3 linked regions of the Saccharomyces cerevisiae S288C genome follow. Changing the gene in region 1 together with any one later gene gives a genetic interaction. Each region holds a gene or a part of one and is shown in the gene's direction. Other genes may lie near its edges.

What was found. A genetic interaction does not mean that the proteins touch.
Region 2: of CWH43 (region 1) and VPS74, changing one enhances a phenotype caused by changing the other (phenotypic enhancement), as found in Saccharomyces cerevisiae (2 studies listed by BioGRID, with this or other methods).
Region 3: mutations in CWH43 (region 1) and SEC63 together harm fitness more than expected from each alone (negative genetic interaction), as found in Saccharomyces cerevisiae (2 studies listed by BioGRID).

Annotation. Positions count from the first base shown.
Region 1 is NC_001135.5:144,273-149,666, reverse strand, and holds CWH43 (Cwh43p), read left to right. Parts: upstream 1-2,032; coding exon 2,033-4,894; downstream 4,895-5,394. Other genes in the region: SRD1 (Srd1p), read left to right, coding at 764-1,429; RNA-binding ribosome assembly factor RBP95, read right to left, coding at 5,161-5,394.
Region 2 is NC_001136.10:1,220,290-1,223,876, reverse strand, and holds VPS74 (Vps74p), read left to right. Parts: upstream 1-1,727; coding exon 1,728-2,765; downstream 2,766-3,587. Other genes in the region: PHO92 (mRNA-binding phosphate metabolism regulator), read left to right, coding at 1-403; FRQ1 (frequenin), read right to left, coding at 546-1,118; CTS2 (putative chitinase), read right to left, coding at 2,929-3,587.
Region 3 is NC_001147.6:804,210-808,925, reverse strand, and holds SEC63 (protein-transporting protein SEC63), read left to right. Parts: upstream 1-1,902; coding exon 1,903-3,894; downstream 3,895-4,716. Other genes in the region: TRE2 (putative zinc metalloprotease), read left to right, coding at 1-672; OSW1 (Osw1p), read right to left, coding at 819-1,655; peptide alpha-N-acetyltransferase subunit NAT5, read right to left, coding at 4,019-4,549. UniProt on the Saccharomyces cerevisiae protein: Acts as a component of the Sec62/63 complex which is involved in SRP-independent post-translational translocation across the endoplasmic reticulum (ER) and functions together with the Sec61 complex and KAR2 in a channel-forming translocon complex.

The DNA of each region.
Region 1 (5,394 bases):
TTTATTATTCTTTTTCATTTTATACGTTTCATTATCCTATTACATTATCAATATTTGCATTTCAGCTTCCATAACAGTTGATGACTGTTTCTCAATCTTTACGTCATCTTTTTACACCGCATGTGATAATATACTAGTAACACGAATACTACTAAAAGATGACATTTTAGAGCTTCAATCCAACAACTTCTCAGTGATGTGGCTTTCGACATTTCATATTTTTTTGTTCGAGTCCTTTTCAATAAGTGATAGTTGATGCTTATTCCAAATATTCAATATAAGCATTTATATCCTTACTACCATATCAACATGTAAATATTGATAGCCACTTATTCCAACAGAATCGGATAAGCGCTATTTTTTTTTATTAAAGCCTTCCCCTCTCTCATCGCCAAGAATTCTATTGTTTCTCCTAGACCCTGCTTTCGCGGCGCGGTATTCCTGTGCCAGCGGTAAGGGTTCAGTCATTGTATTATGTAGAAGTATCGAATGTGACACAAACATACGCCACTAATATGAGAATGCAGGCGCGATAGCTTTGTAATGTTTTTCAGTTGTATCACAGTAAACTAGAGCGGATCCCTAAATAAGTATCATCAAGCTCGATACACAAAACTTTGAAATGAACTTCTTCGACTTTTAGACGCTTGTTCAAACTTTTATCAATGATGTTGTCAATTAAATAGACTTATATTGCTGTTTCATTGTTATCGCTTTGTTAAGAGGTTGCTAGGTAAATAACCAGACATTTACTATTGCTAGTATGCGATATAATAATTATGACAACTCTGGAAGTTCCTTCTTAACTAGAGTAGTTAAAAAGTCAGATATGGAGAAAACGTTATTATTAAATAGAGAAATTGATGACTGGAAGTCAAACGATAAAAAGAAGGCATATAAGGAACGCGGAAGAGTTTATGCAAGTTGCTCATTTATTGAAGTATCCTTTTCTCAAATAAGGGCTGTTGATGTTGAAAAAAAAATTGAGAATGCCGAACAACTAAGAGATCTTACAAGAAATATTGTTAAGAACAAAACCAGCTCTTTGAACGAAATTACACCCTCAAAGAATCGTGTAACTAGTGCATGCAATTCCGAGAGACGTACGACTAGCCAAGAAGCAAACAATCTTGAAGGCTACCATAGTTGTGCACAAGGAACTAGTCGGTCTGCCAGTATTACGAAGAAATACAGCAAAAAGACTACTAGTCGTCCTAAAAGAGAAAAGAGACAAACAATCCTCCCAAATGGTGAGATAAAGGAATGCTCTAAATGTAAAGACACTTGGACAATTCAATGGCGTAGTGGACCCGACCAAAACAGGGAACTTTGTAGTCCCTGTGGACTCGCCTATGGAAAAAGACTGAAGAAGGAGAATGAAAAAAAAAGGCAAGCAGCAGATAAAAGGATAGATCGAAACAATCCATAGTATCTATTTAATTCTTTCACCGCATAGATGATATTTTTCCACTAGGATATTCCACCTTTTTTTTTTCTAATATTGGCACTTCAGTTATAATGTATTTTCTTCGTCTTTGTTCTTATATTGTACTATTATTCATAATATTTATTACGTTTTATATGGAGTTTCTTTTTGATTAATGGCTTCCTGCTAGTATTACTATATGACTATAGCAACAAACTTTGCAGTTAGTTTTGTTGAGATTGTATGCTCAATAAGTTTAAGTGAACTTCTACAAGTTGTACCTCATTTCTCGGTTTTGAAATTAAGTATTCTTGGTTCAGGTTTGCAGTTCTTTTTAATGTTGTTTTTTACAATCAAAGTATGCTCATCGGTATATACAGAAGTGCCAGTTTGGGATTTTTGAGTCCCTGAATATGCGCTTCATGCTTTTTTATTATGTAAAGTTAGTTCGGGTAAGAAGTAGTAACCAAAAAAATCGCAACAATAGATTCTCATTCGCTTTTTGACTTGGTAACTTATAATTTCTCCACAGTATTTGCACCCTTTTAATGTCCGATTTCTCGAGGAATAAGTAACCAGGAATACAGAAGGTATCCACCGCCAGTTATGCTGATCATCAATGGGAAGATCATCCCTATAGCTCATACTATTTGTGCATTCTCCGCCTTCTTTGCAGCTTTGGTCACTGGTTATTCATTACATTTTCATAAAATTGTAACCAATGCACATTATACGTATCCAGATGAGTGGTTTCCTAGTGTATCAGCCACTATCGGGGACCGCTATCCGGAACGTTCTATTTTCCAAATCTTAATAGCTCTAACTGCTTTTCCAAGATTTTTACTGCTACTAGGTCACTACTACTTGAACCAATCTAAGGTATGCTTCCTTGTCGGTGTACTCCGGACAGTCTCTTGCGGTGGTTGGGTATACATTACAAGTACAGATGACCACGATATTCATGATATATTTATGATCACATACATTGTTTTAACGTTACCATGGGATATAATGATTACCCGCTATTCTAGTCCTTTAACTTCGAAGAACAAAGGGTTGACTGCTACAATTTTTTTTGGAACATTGTTCCCGATGATTTACTGGTACATTCAGCACTCCGTCCAACAGAGAGCTGGGGCATATTCTATATATGCTTATTTCGAATGGTCTCTGATTCTTTTAGATATTGCATTTGATGCATTTGCTTACGCTGATTTCAAAAAGATAGATATTGTTCTCGCTTTTAATGAGAAACCCGGTAATACCAGTTTTTTCCAAATTAGAGACTCTAGTCCCATAAATTATGGAGAAGAAAAAAGTTCAGAATTGCAGAAAAGTGGTGAAAAGAAGGTTGAAAAGGAAAAACCCGTTGCTAGAAGCGCAACTGGTTCATATTTCAGGTTTGACTCTTTTTTTTACTTACTAACAAATATTTTTAACGGTTTTCTTTTCTGGTCGAACGTTACGTCCCTGTTATGTAGTATTTGGCATTTCCCGCTATGGTATATGGGAATCTCAGGTTATGAAGCTGCAATATTGGGTTATTTGGGACCCATTTTCTTATATCTGCCGTTCGTTTCTGAAGCCTTCACGCAATATGGTGTACTTTTAGGAGGTATTATTGCCATTGGTGCCTATATTGTTCAGATGCCAGAATTAAGGTTGATTTCTGTAGCTGTGGGAACTTCCATTACCGTTGCAACGTTTGTACAAAATCTAAGATATATCACAAATGCGGAGACTAGTTTCTCTTTTGCTCTAACTTGGCTGTTAGGTCTTGTTGCATCTGTGATCTTGAAAATGGGGTTCTATACCAACAATCCAACTTGGGTCATTTTAGATGAACGTAATGGTGGGTATAATAAGACAGCTCTCGTGCTTACTGTTTTATTCGGCATGCTGTCGCCTTATGTTAATTCAATTAATTTCGAAGGGAAAAGGAATGCTCAAGCAAAATCTGCTTCGTTGATTGGCAAATTATTTTTGGCTGTTGGTTTTGGCTCGTTGTTATTCGGAATTCATCAGTTATTGACGGATTCTTCTACTACTATTTATTGGGCATGGGAAGGTTACAATGAATCACACGGTCCCTTGCCATGGCCTTGGGGCGCCTTAACTTGTACGGTCATGTTATTTGCTTCTTTGAGTTCTGTGAAGTTTATGGGCAAGCCATTAGTTCCATGTTTGTTGCTTCTCATATCCACTGCTGTACTTTCAGCTAGAAGCATTACACAATGGCCTAAATATATTTTCGGTGGTTTATTGTACGCTATCGCTATGCTTTGGTTAGTTCCTTCGTATTTTTCTGCATTAGGCCAAGTTCAAAACATATGGGTTTATGTCCTATCATTCTCCGTTTATATTATCTTTGTCCTTGCCCATGTTTGGGTCGTTGCATACGCATTTGTTCCAATGGGCTGGGTACTGAGGGAGAAGATTGAGACGGTTCTTGCCTTTTCTTCCACATTTATCATTATTGGTGCTTTAACATGCAAAAACCTTAACATTCAACTGGTGACTATGGGCAAAAAATTCTTCATTTATGTTTTCTTCTTTGCCGTGGCCCTGCTATCACTAACAGCTAGGTTCGTGTATGATATTAGACCTACAGGAATTCCTCAGCCTTATCATCCAGATTCTCAGTTGATTACAGCTGGTATTTGGACTATCCACTTTGGTCTCGATAATGATATGTGGGCATCTGAAGACAGAATGATCAACCTTATTAAAGATATGGAACTAGATGTGGTAGGTCTACTAGAAACAGATACACAAAGAATTACCATGGGGAACAGGGATCTAACTAGCAAACTAGCTCATGATTTGAATATGTATGCAGATTTCGGACCAGGTCCAAATAAACATACCTGGGGCTGTGTTCTTCTTTCTAAATTCCCTATCGTAAATTCTACGCATCATTTATTGCCCTCTCCAGTTGGGGAACTTGCGCCAGCCATTCATGCCACACTTCAAACGTACAATGACACTCTCGTTGACGTCTTTGTATTCCATAGTGGACAAGAAGAGGATGAAGAGGATAGAAGACTGCAAAGTAACTACATGGCTAAGCTCATGGGCAATACGACTCGCCCAGCTATTTTATTAAGTTACTTAGTTGTTGATCCAGGTGAAGGCAACTACAATACGTACGTTAGTGAAACATCCGGAATGCACGACATTGATCCTTCTGACGATGATAGATGGTGTGAGTATATCTTGTATAGGGGCTTGAGAAGAACAGGATATGCTAGAGTTGCAAGAGGAACGATAACCGATACGGAGCTACAAGTTGGTAAGTTCCAAGTTTTGAGTGAGCAAGCGTTAGTAGAGCACTCGGATTCTATGTATGAATACGGTCATATGAGTGAACCGGAATATGAGGACATGAAATTTCCAGATAAGTTTTTAGGCGAAGGTGAGAGGGGTCACTTCTACCATGTTTTTGATGAGCCACGTTATTACTTATAAGAGGCCGTAAGGTGGTTTTATAAATCAGTGTAATCACATTGTGTGTACTGAAAATCTTGATAACTTAAGGTAAGTTATGTATCCACCTGATTTTTTTGACCTCGAATTTTAAAAATTTATGTGATTTCTTTATGTATGTTACTTAGACGATCTTGTTATAGTTTTGTAAGAAATTATACTTCCTGAAACGATTTATCCCGCTACTTTTTGAGCGTATTTCACAGTAAAATATATACTACAACTGAACAACGTTGTTGAACTCTATGTTAAACATCAACGAAGAAATTCTTAAGTTCTATCTGCTCCGAGTCATCATTCTTCCAAATTTCTAGTAATTTCAGACTTCTTTGAACAAGCTCTTTATTCGGCATTTGTACTTCCTCTTGCTCGTCTTGTACCTCTTTTTGCTTCCCTTGTTCGGCATTACCGTCTTTTTCACCTTCTTCTTTTTCTTCACCATTAATTGGTTCGCTAGCCTTATCCTCTGCAATTAACGCTTT
Region 2 (3,587 bases), on another chromosome or scaffold:
CAACGGAATTTGGTCGTCTACTCATTTCGGCAACAAAAGGCTATCTGAGGCATATAAAAAGCTTAATTCGGGAGCCAAAGTGTTTTTATTTTTTTCAATCAACACATCAGGAAGATTCTGTGGCGTTGCAGAAATGGTATCGGATTTGAAAATGGATTTGGACACCAGTATATGGGAAGATGAACAAAAATATGGCAAAGCCTTTAAAGTAAGATGGGTGATCGTGCGTGATATAAATAACAGATCGTTAAAAAGGTTTTTGATACCATCCAATGAAATGAAACCGATAACACATTCCAGAGATACTCAAGAAATTCCATATTCGATTGGAATTTCAATAATTAATCTATTTAAAACTCAAGATTCTGATATTTTCTCCTTCTTGGATGAGACGTATGAATAGACCTTATCCCTCATTTATCAACATTTTATTCTCATTTATTATTAGTATTATTATTATTTTTAATATTATTTTTATTTAAAATTATCCTAAAATTACTTCTACTGTTATAACATCCAATCCATAAGAAGCAAAAACAAAGTTTTCATATTAAGCCATCGTAAAGGTTTAAGGCACCAATAATAGAGGGATCGACTTTAGAACCTTCTCTGAATTCGTCCAGCGTAATGTAACCATCTTCGTTCTTATCCATCAACTTGAAGATCTTCTTTACCCTCATTTCGGGCGTTGCCTCATCCTCATTAAGTGTAACCATAGACCCCATCATTTTATAAACACTCGCCACAATGGTTAGCATTTCATCAAATGTAATATATCCATCATGGTTCAAATCATAAAGTTCGAAAGCCCAGCTCAGTTTTTCCTCCAAAGTTCCTCTGGACGTTGTACTCAAAACTGTGATAAACTCTTCAAAATGTATGAATCCATTGTTGTCTTTATCAAAAACTGTAAAAAGGTGATTAGCAAAATCTTCAGGAGAACCAAATGGAAAAAACTGTTTGTATATCTTAACAAAATCTTCCCTAGCTAGTTGGCCACTAGGGCAATCCCTCAAAAATCCTTTATGCCATTGCTGGATTTCTCTTCTATCAAAATAGGTGGATTGTTTCAAACATGTCAGGTCATCTTTGGAAAGCTTTGACGTCTTGGCTCCCATTTTTTTTTTGAATCAAAAACAGTTTTCAAGCACAAAATAACTCTCGCCGATTCTTAAACTAGCAACAATTATAAAACAGGAGGTAATATCCCTAGTTCATCAGTTCAATCGTTGACAAATTAAACATTATTTCAGTACTCTATGGTATAATAATAAAAAATACACCGAAGAGTTACCCTTTTTTCGTTTTTAATGATCAATTCTGGCTCATTTTTTTACTTCCTGAGCAGTCAACTACTACTGAAAAAAAGAGGCTAATGGGTACGCATTTACCTAAAAACAATTAGATCCCTGCCTTGGATCGTAATCTTGTTTATCTATCCTTTTTGGACATTGACATCTATTTGTGTCGCAGTTAATTGCTTTCTGGGTACGTTGACTTTTTCAGTTCTATATCGGCCCGTTGCTTACTCTGTTCAACTCACTTATTCTTTTGTTTCGGTTTGGGCTGCTGCATTTATAGATTAAAAATAAATTTCAAATTTCCACGCTAACAAATAGAGCTAAATTAGCAGTTTCATTGTTGGCTATATTTTCATTACAACTTTTGATCTGATAACGTAAAAGAATTCAAACAAAAACTATCTAAAAAAATACAAAGCAAAAATCATGTCTACTTTACAACGTCGTAGAGTCAATAGGGCGGATTCTGGAGATACTTCCTCCATTCATTCTTCTGCTAACAATACCAAAGGAGACAAAATCGCAAATATTGCTGTTGACGGGGATGATGACAATGGAACAAACAAAAAGATTGCATATGACCCAGAAGAATCGAAATTGAGAGACAACATCAATATCCCTACGTTAACGTTGATGGAAGAAGTCTTATTGATGGGCTTAAGAGATAGAGAAGGATATTTGTCGTTTTGGAATGATAGTATTTCATATGCTTTGCGTGGTTGTATAATTATAGAATTAGCGTTAAGAGGTAAAATCAGAATCTTAGATGATTCCGCCAGGAAAAGGTTCGATCTTTCCGAAAGGTTGATTGAAGTTATTGACAGTTCCAAAACTGGGGAAGTTTTACTGGATGAAACTTTGCAATTGATGAAAAACGACGAACCTTTGTCAATTTCTAACTGGATTGATCTTTTAAGTGGTGAAACATGGAACCTTTTAAAGATCAACTATCAATTGAAACAAGTAAGGGAAAGATTGGCAAAAGGTTTGGTCGATAAAGGTGTATTGAGAACAGAAATGAAAAATTTCTTTTTGTTTGACATGGCGACACACCCCATTGCAGACGCCAGCTGCAAAGAAGCCATTAAGCGCAGAGTACTTTCTGTACTCGTATCGAGGAACATGGAATTAAGTTACAATGAATATTTTCCGGAGACAACATCTTTCAAAATCATTAGAACTTTAGCTTTAATATGTGGATCATATGGGGCAAACGTATTGGAGAATGTCCTGACTACGTTGGAATATGAGAAGAGAGATAAGGCAATTAGTAGAGCTGAAGAAATAATGGCACAATTTTCGCAATACCCATTTGATTTAGAAAAGGAAACTGAGTTAGGTGTCTCCGTTAATTTAAACAAGGAAGTTAAAGAAGAGATAGAAAACAATCCTGGTCATGATTTACAATTGGAAGTTATTGCTGGTGTATTTGAAGTCTTTTCAAGAATGGATATGCTATTATGAAAATAACAACAAAAATCCTCTCTTTGAAACATAAGGAAAAGTCAAGCTTTTTTTTATAAGCCTCTAACATTAATAAACGAAATTTGTATATATGTATATACATATACGGAGTGGATAATAAATAGACCAAACTTTTTGTTATTATATACGCCCACATTCGTATTCATTGCTTTCTTGAATCCAAATGCTTTAAATATGGAGATAAAAATCCGCCATCGCCATATTTATTCAAGTAATATTTTTTAACTCTCACATCTTGAAATATTGATGGTTTTGATGACACATTAAAGTGCAAGCCTTCATTAAATGCGTTTATCAACGACCTTGACTCATTTGCATAAGCTTCACCACATGACTCCCACCAAAAGCCTCCGCCTAAATTGTTATGTGTCACATATTCAGCCTTAGTTTTGACTGATTTAGTGTTATCATAACTGATAAATATTGAATTTTTTTCATCAAAGCAATATGCTGAAACATATTTTGGATCGTATTGTTCTATTGTACCAATCTTTGGTAAATTTTTGTAAGGCCAGATGCCCTCCTTGCCATCAGCTTTATCTATTTCTTTAGTGGGCTTGCCCACTCCTTTGAAAATTTTGTTAATTAATACAGTATTTTGATTGAATGGTTCGAATTTGTTATCTTTGATATGGAAACTTCTTCCGTAGGCGGCCATTCCCAGTACTAATTTTCTAGAATTGACGCCAAATCTATCGATCATATAATGCATGGCAAAGTTTCCATTCAATTCCGTCTCACTGAATAGATTGCTGTGATATCCTGTTGTTTCTGACCACGAGCCATAATAATCGTACGTCA
Region 3 (4,716 bases), on another chromosome or scaffold:
ATATCTTCTGATTCTACGAGAAACCGTGACACCCCAACTGAAACATCTGAGGATAAATTTGAACGTGTTGAGAAGATTCTGGAAGACGAACAGAACCAACAATCTGTCAAGGATTTGCTAGTATATCTTTTACATATTAGTATGGAATTGATTGATGACCCGCTACTTCATTTTGACATAATAAGCTATGTTGAAGATATCGATGAAAGATTGCAAAGGTTAGAGCAAGCATACCCTGAAAAACTAAACTTCACATCAATAATCAAAGGTTTGTTATTTTGGAAGAAAATCGGTAGCGAATGGGCGTCATGGACTCAAGGTTGGGAGAACATAGTATGGTCGCATGGGGATGGTATAGAGCCCTCCTTACTTTCAATTAATAGGTGGACATGGAATAAAAAATTGACTAATATTGGTAGAAGAACATGCTCTCCGGCGGGTCTACCTAATAGATCATTTTATAAGAACGTTTTGTTCGGACCAACATTGATACAGGAGGATAAATCTAAAAATGGTGGAAATGTAGATTTCTGGACATTTCCAGGAGTGATGGATGCGATTTACGATGATGACTGGAAGAGGGCTCAAGAACAAATTGACCTTATTGGCAAAGTACTCCATCAGTCTGCTGCATTGTTTGTCGAAGAGACTAATGACATCGGGTATAAATAAATTGAACTGAAAGAATACATATTGTAAGTATAAGGAAGTATGTTAATAAAATTTTTTCTTTAATTATGTAATACATGGCATGCAAGCATTTCTTCTTTTTGGGATGCTTTTCCTCTTAGTATCCTATGTTTGTATATATCTTTTTGTTAAATGACACGAGAGAAGGAGACAATAGGATAATTTTGAAATTTCTGTATCACAATCGTATCTAGTTTCTTCTCTACACCTTTGTTTTGACGCGATGTTTCCTCTTCAAAAAGCTTCCCAAGCAACTTAGATTTTCCAATCTCCTGATTATTTCGTTTTTCTTTAGAAGATTTTTTAGAATGCCTGTGCAAAGAGTGATAATCTTTAACTCTCAGGGAATGGTCGTCACAAAATCTGATATATACCGAAGAGACTTCTTCTTCTACATCCTCTTCAAGAACACTAGGCCTAGTCTGCATCTTATTACTCCTACCCCCTAATTTGTCACTTCTTATAGTATTTTTATCGTGAAATATTATTTTAACATCAGCATGGTTTGCTGTGACTTTCTTGATCTTTCTAACGGTTTCTGCGCACTGTTGGTGTTCAACTTTGTGGATGCTTCCGTCTTTTCTCTTTAAATTATTGCCAAAAATTTCATTGTGATAGAACCTTAGGGCATATTTTCTTTTGCTTAATTTTAAACGAGACAAATTGTTCCTTTGCAGTACATATACCCTTGGTGATTCTTGGCAACCCTTGGGAAACCTTGCAATCAGTAGTGGTTTCTTTTTGGAACTTCCTGGACATAGTCCAGACGGTTCATTTATCATGTCCTCAATGTGTATTTCGGAGAGGGGGCTCAAGTTCCAGCGAGTATTATATTGGTGAATGTGAAGTTTGTGGACATGCCACCTCCTCTTTAATTTCCGGCCACTGAACAGTTGACACAGTCGAAAATATAGGTAAAAAAAATGACCAGATTTGGACTTTCTCGGTGAAGGTGGTGCTCTCATGCTTCTTTTCTATTTTGAGTTATTAACGTCTTAGCTTTATAATGTCACAATCTGACTTCATTACTGACACAATCGCTCTTATAACGCGAATTGGTCACTCGTTACGGAAAGGCGTTTTCTGAAAAATTTGTCTTGAACACGTCGAAGATCACTGAACGAATAAAAGATGCGACTGGAACAATAGTCAGTTATAATTGACCAAAGAAGGCCTTCGCAACAAAATAAATATACTGCATATTACAGCACAATGCCTACAAATTACGAGTATGATGAGGCTAGTGAGACGTGGCCGTCCTTCATTTTAACGGGGCTCTTGATGGTCGTCGGGCCTATGACACTGCTTCAAATATACCAAATTTTTTTTGGGGCCAATGCTGAAGATGGGAATTCAGGGAAGAGTAAGGAGTTTAATGAGGAAGTTTTCAAGAACTTGAATGAAGAATACACCAGTGATGAAATCAAACAATTTAGAAGGAAGTTTGATAAAAATAGTAATAAGAAGTCCAAAATATGGAGCAGGAGAAATATTATAATTATTGTGGGTTGGATCTTAGTTGCAATTCTTCTGCAAAGGATTAATAGTAATGACGCGATTAAAGACGCTGCTACAAAATTATTTGATCCTTATGAAATCCTTGGTATCTCTACTAGTGCTTCCGATAGAGACATCAAATCTGCTTATAGAAAATTATCTGTTAAATTTCATCCAGATAAATTAGCAAAGGGCCTAACACCTGATGAGAAAAGTGTGATGGAAGAAACTTATGTTCAGATTACGAAGGCTTACGAATCCCTTACTGACGAATTGGTTAGGCAAAACTATTTGAAATACGGTCATCCAGATGGCCCACAATCTACTTCACATGGTATCGCTCTACCAAGATTTTTGGTAGATGGAAGTGCATCTCCATTATTAGTGGTTTGTTATGTTGCGCTACTAGGTTTAATCTTGCCATATTTTGTTAGTAGATGGTGGGCAAGAACACAATCGTATACTAAGAAGGGAATACATAATGTGACGGCTTCTAATTTTGTTAGTAACTTAGTCAATTACAAGCCATCTGAGATTGTCACCACAGATTTGATCTTACACTGGTTATCATTTGCTCATGAATTTAAACAATTCTTCCCGGATTTGCAACCAACGGATTTTGAAAAACTTTTGCAAGATCATATTAACCGCAGAGATAGTGGTAAACTTAACAATGCGAAATTTAGAATAGTGGCCAAATGTCACTCTTTGTTACACGGTTTATTGGATATTGCTTGTGGATTCAGAAATTTAGATATTGCATTGGGTGCAATCAATACTTTCAAGTGTATTGTTCAGGCTGTACCATTAACACCAAACTGTCAAATCCTTCAATTGCCGAACGTAGATAAAGAGCACTTTATTACCAAAACCGGAGATATTCATACATTAGGTAAATTGTTTACTTTAGAAGATGCCAAGATTGGTGAGGTTCTTGGAATAAAGGATCAAGCAAAGTTAAACGAAACTTTGAGAGTTGCATCGCATATTCCAAATCTAAAGATCATCAAGGCAGACTTCCTTGTCCCAGGTGAGAACCAAGTAACACCATCATCTACCCCATACATTTCTTTGAAAGTACTGGTTCGTTCTGCTAAACAGCCATTGATACCAACTAGCTTAATTCCTGAAGAAAATTTAACAGAACCTCAAGATTTTGAATCTCAAAGAGATCCATTTGCTATGATGAGTAAACAGCCACTCGTCCCATATTCCTTTGCACCATTTTTCCCTACAAAGAGACGTGGGAGTTGGTGCTGTCTGGTAAGTTCTCAAAAAGATGGTAAAATACTTCAAACGCCAATTATCATTGAAAAGCTATCTTACAAGAACTTGAACGATGACAAAGATTTCTTTGATAAGAGGATAAAAATGGATTTAACCAAACACGAAAAATTCGATATAAATGATTGGGAAATCGGGACCATAAAAATTCCATTAGGTCAGCCTGCACCTGAAACTGTTGGTGATTTCTTTTTTAGAGTAATCGTTAAATCCACAGATTATTTCACTACAGATTTGGATATTACCATGAATATGAAAGTTCGTGATTCTCCTGCAGTGGAACAAGTAGAGGTGTATTCTGAGGAGGATGATGAGTACTCTACTGATGACGACGAAACCGAAAGTGATGATGAAAGTGATGCTAGCGATTATACTGATATCGATACGGATACAGAAGCTGAAGATGATGAATCACCAGAATAGATATAAGTGATTAGTATAGTTTTTCATTTTAGCTCTTAGACGTATATATTTCATCTTTATAAAAATAGATACATGTGTATACAAAGCAAAACCAAAAAAAAAAAAAAAATTTTTCAGCCATCTGTTAAGAAATGTGTTTTTTCAATAAGATAGCATCTTGTTCGTCGCCATTTACACCTTTTATGAAATTGTTGACAGTTTCGCCCACTTGTTCGAAGCCATGAGCTATAAACCATTGCTTTGTAAGATCATCCACTGCTGGTAAATAGACAAACACGTTATGTTGATGACATTCTGAGCATTTGTCTTCTGCAAACTTCAGTAATTTTGAACCGATGGATTTGTGCCTATAATTAGGCAACACGCCCAAAAATTCGATTTGAATGCCCTTGAGAGATAGTTCGTTTTGTTTTTTAGGAACTAATTTAGCAACCAAACCACCCACTGGTATTTCACTGTAATAAGCCATCTGTGTGAAATGTACATCCTTCTTCGAAGATGGCTTTTTATTTTTTGCAACTAAGCTATCCTCAGCGAATAATGCACTGAAGAAGGCATCTTGATATAAGTTTGGTACTGTCACATGAGCTAGTTTGGTTAGCATGCCCAAATTGTTAGCGTAAACATTGTCTAATGTGCATATATCACGGCCCATATTTCGCACTACTCCCTTCAATTGTCTTTGCCAATTTGTTTGTTACGGATTAATTTGTGAAAAAGCTTCGCTAATAATATCAATTTTCTTTTTTTTCTTTGCTTTTTCTACTATAATATACATAAAATTATATAAAGAGCATATAAACCATAAAGATTCCTCTGCGA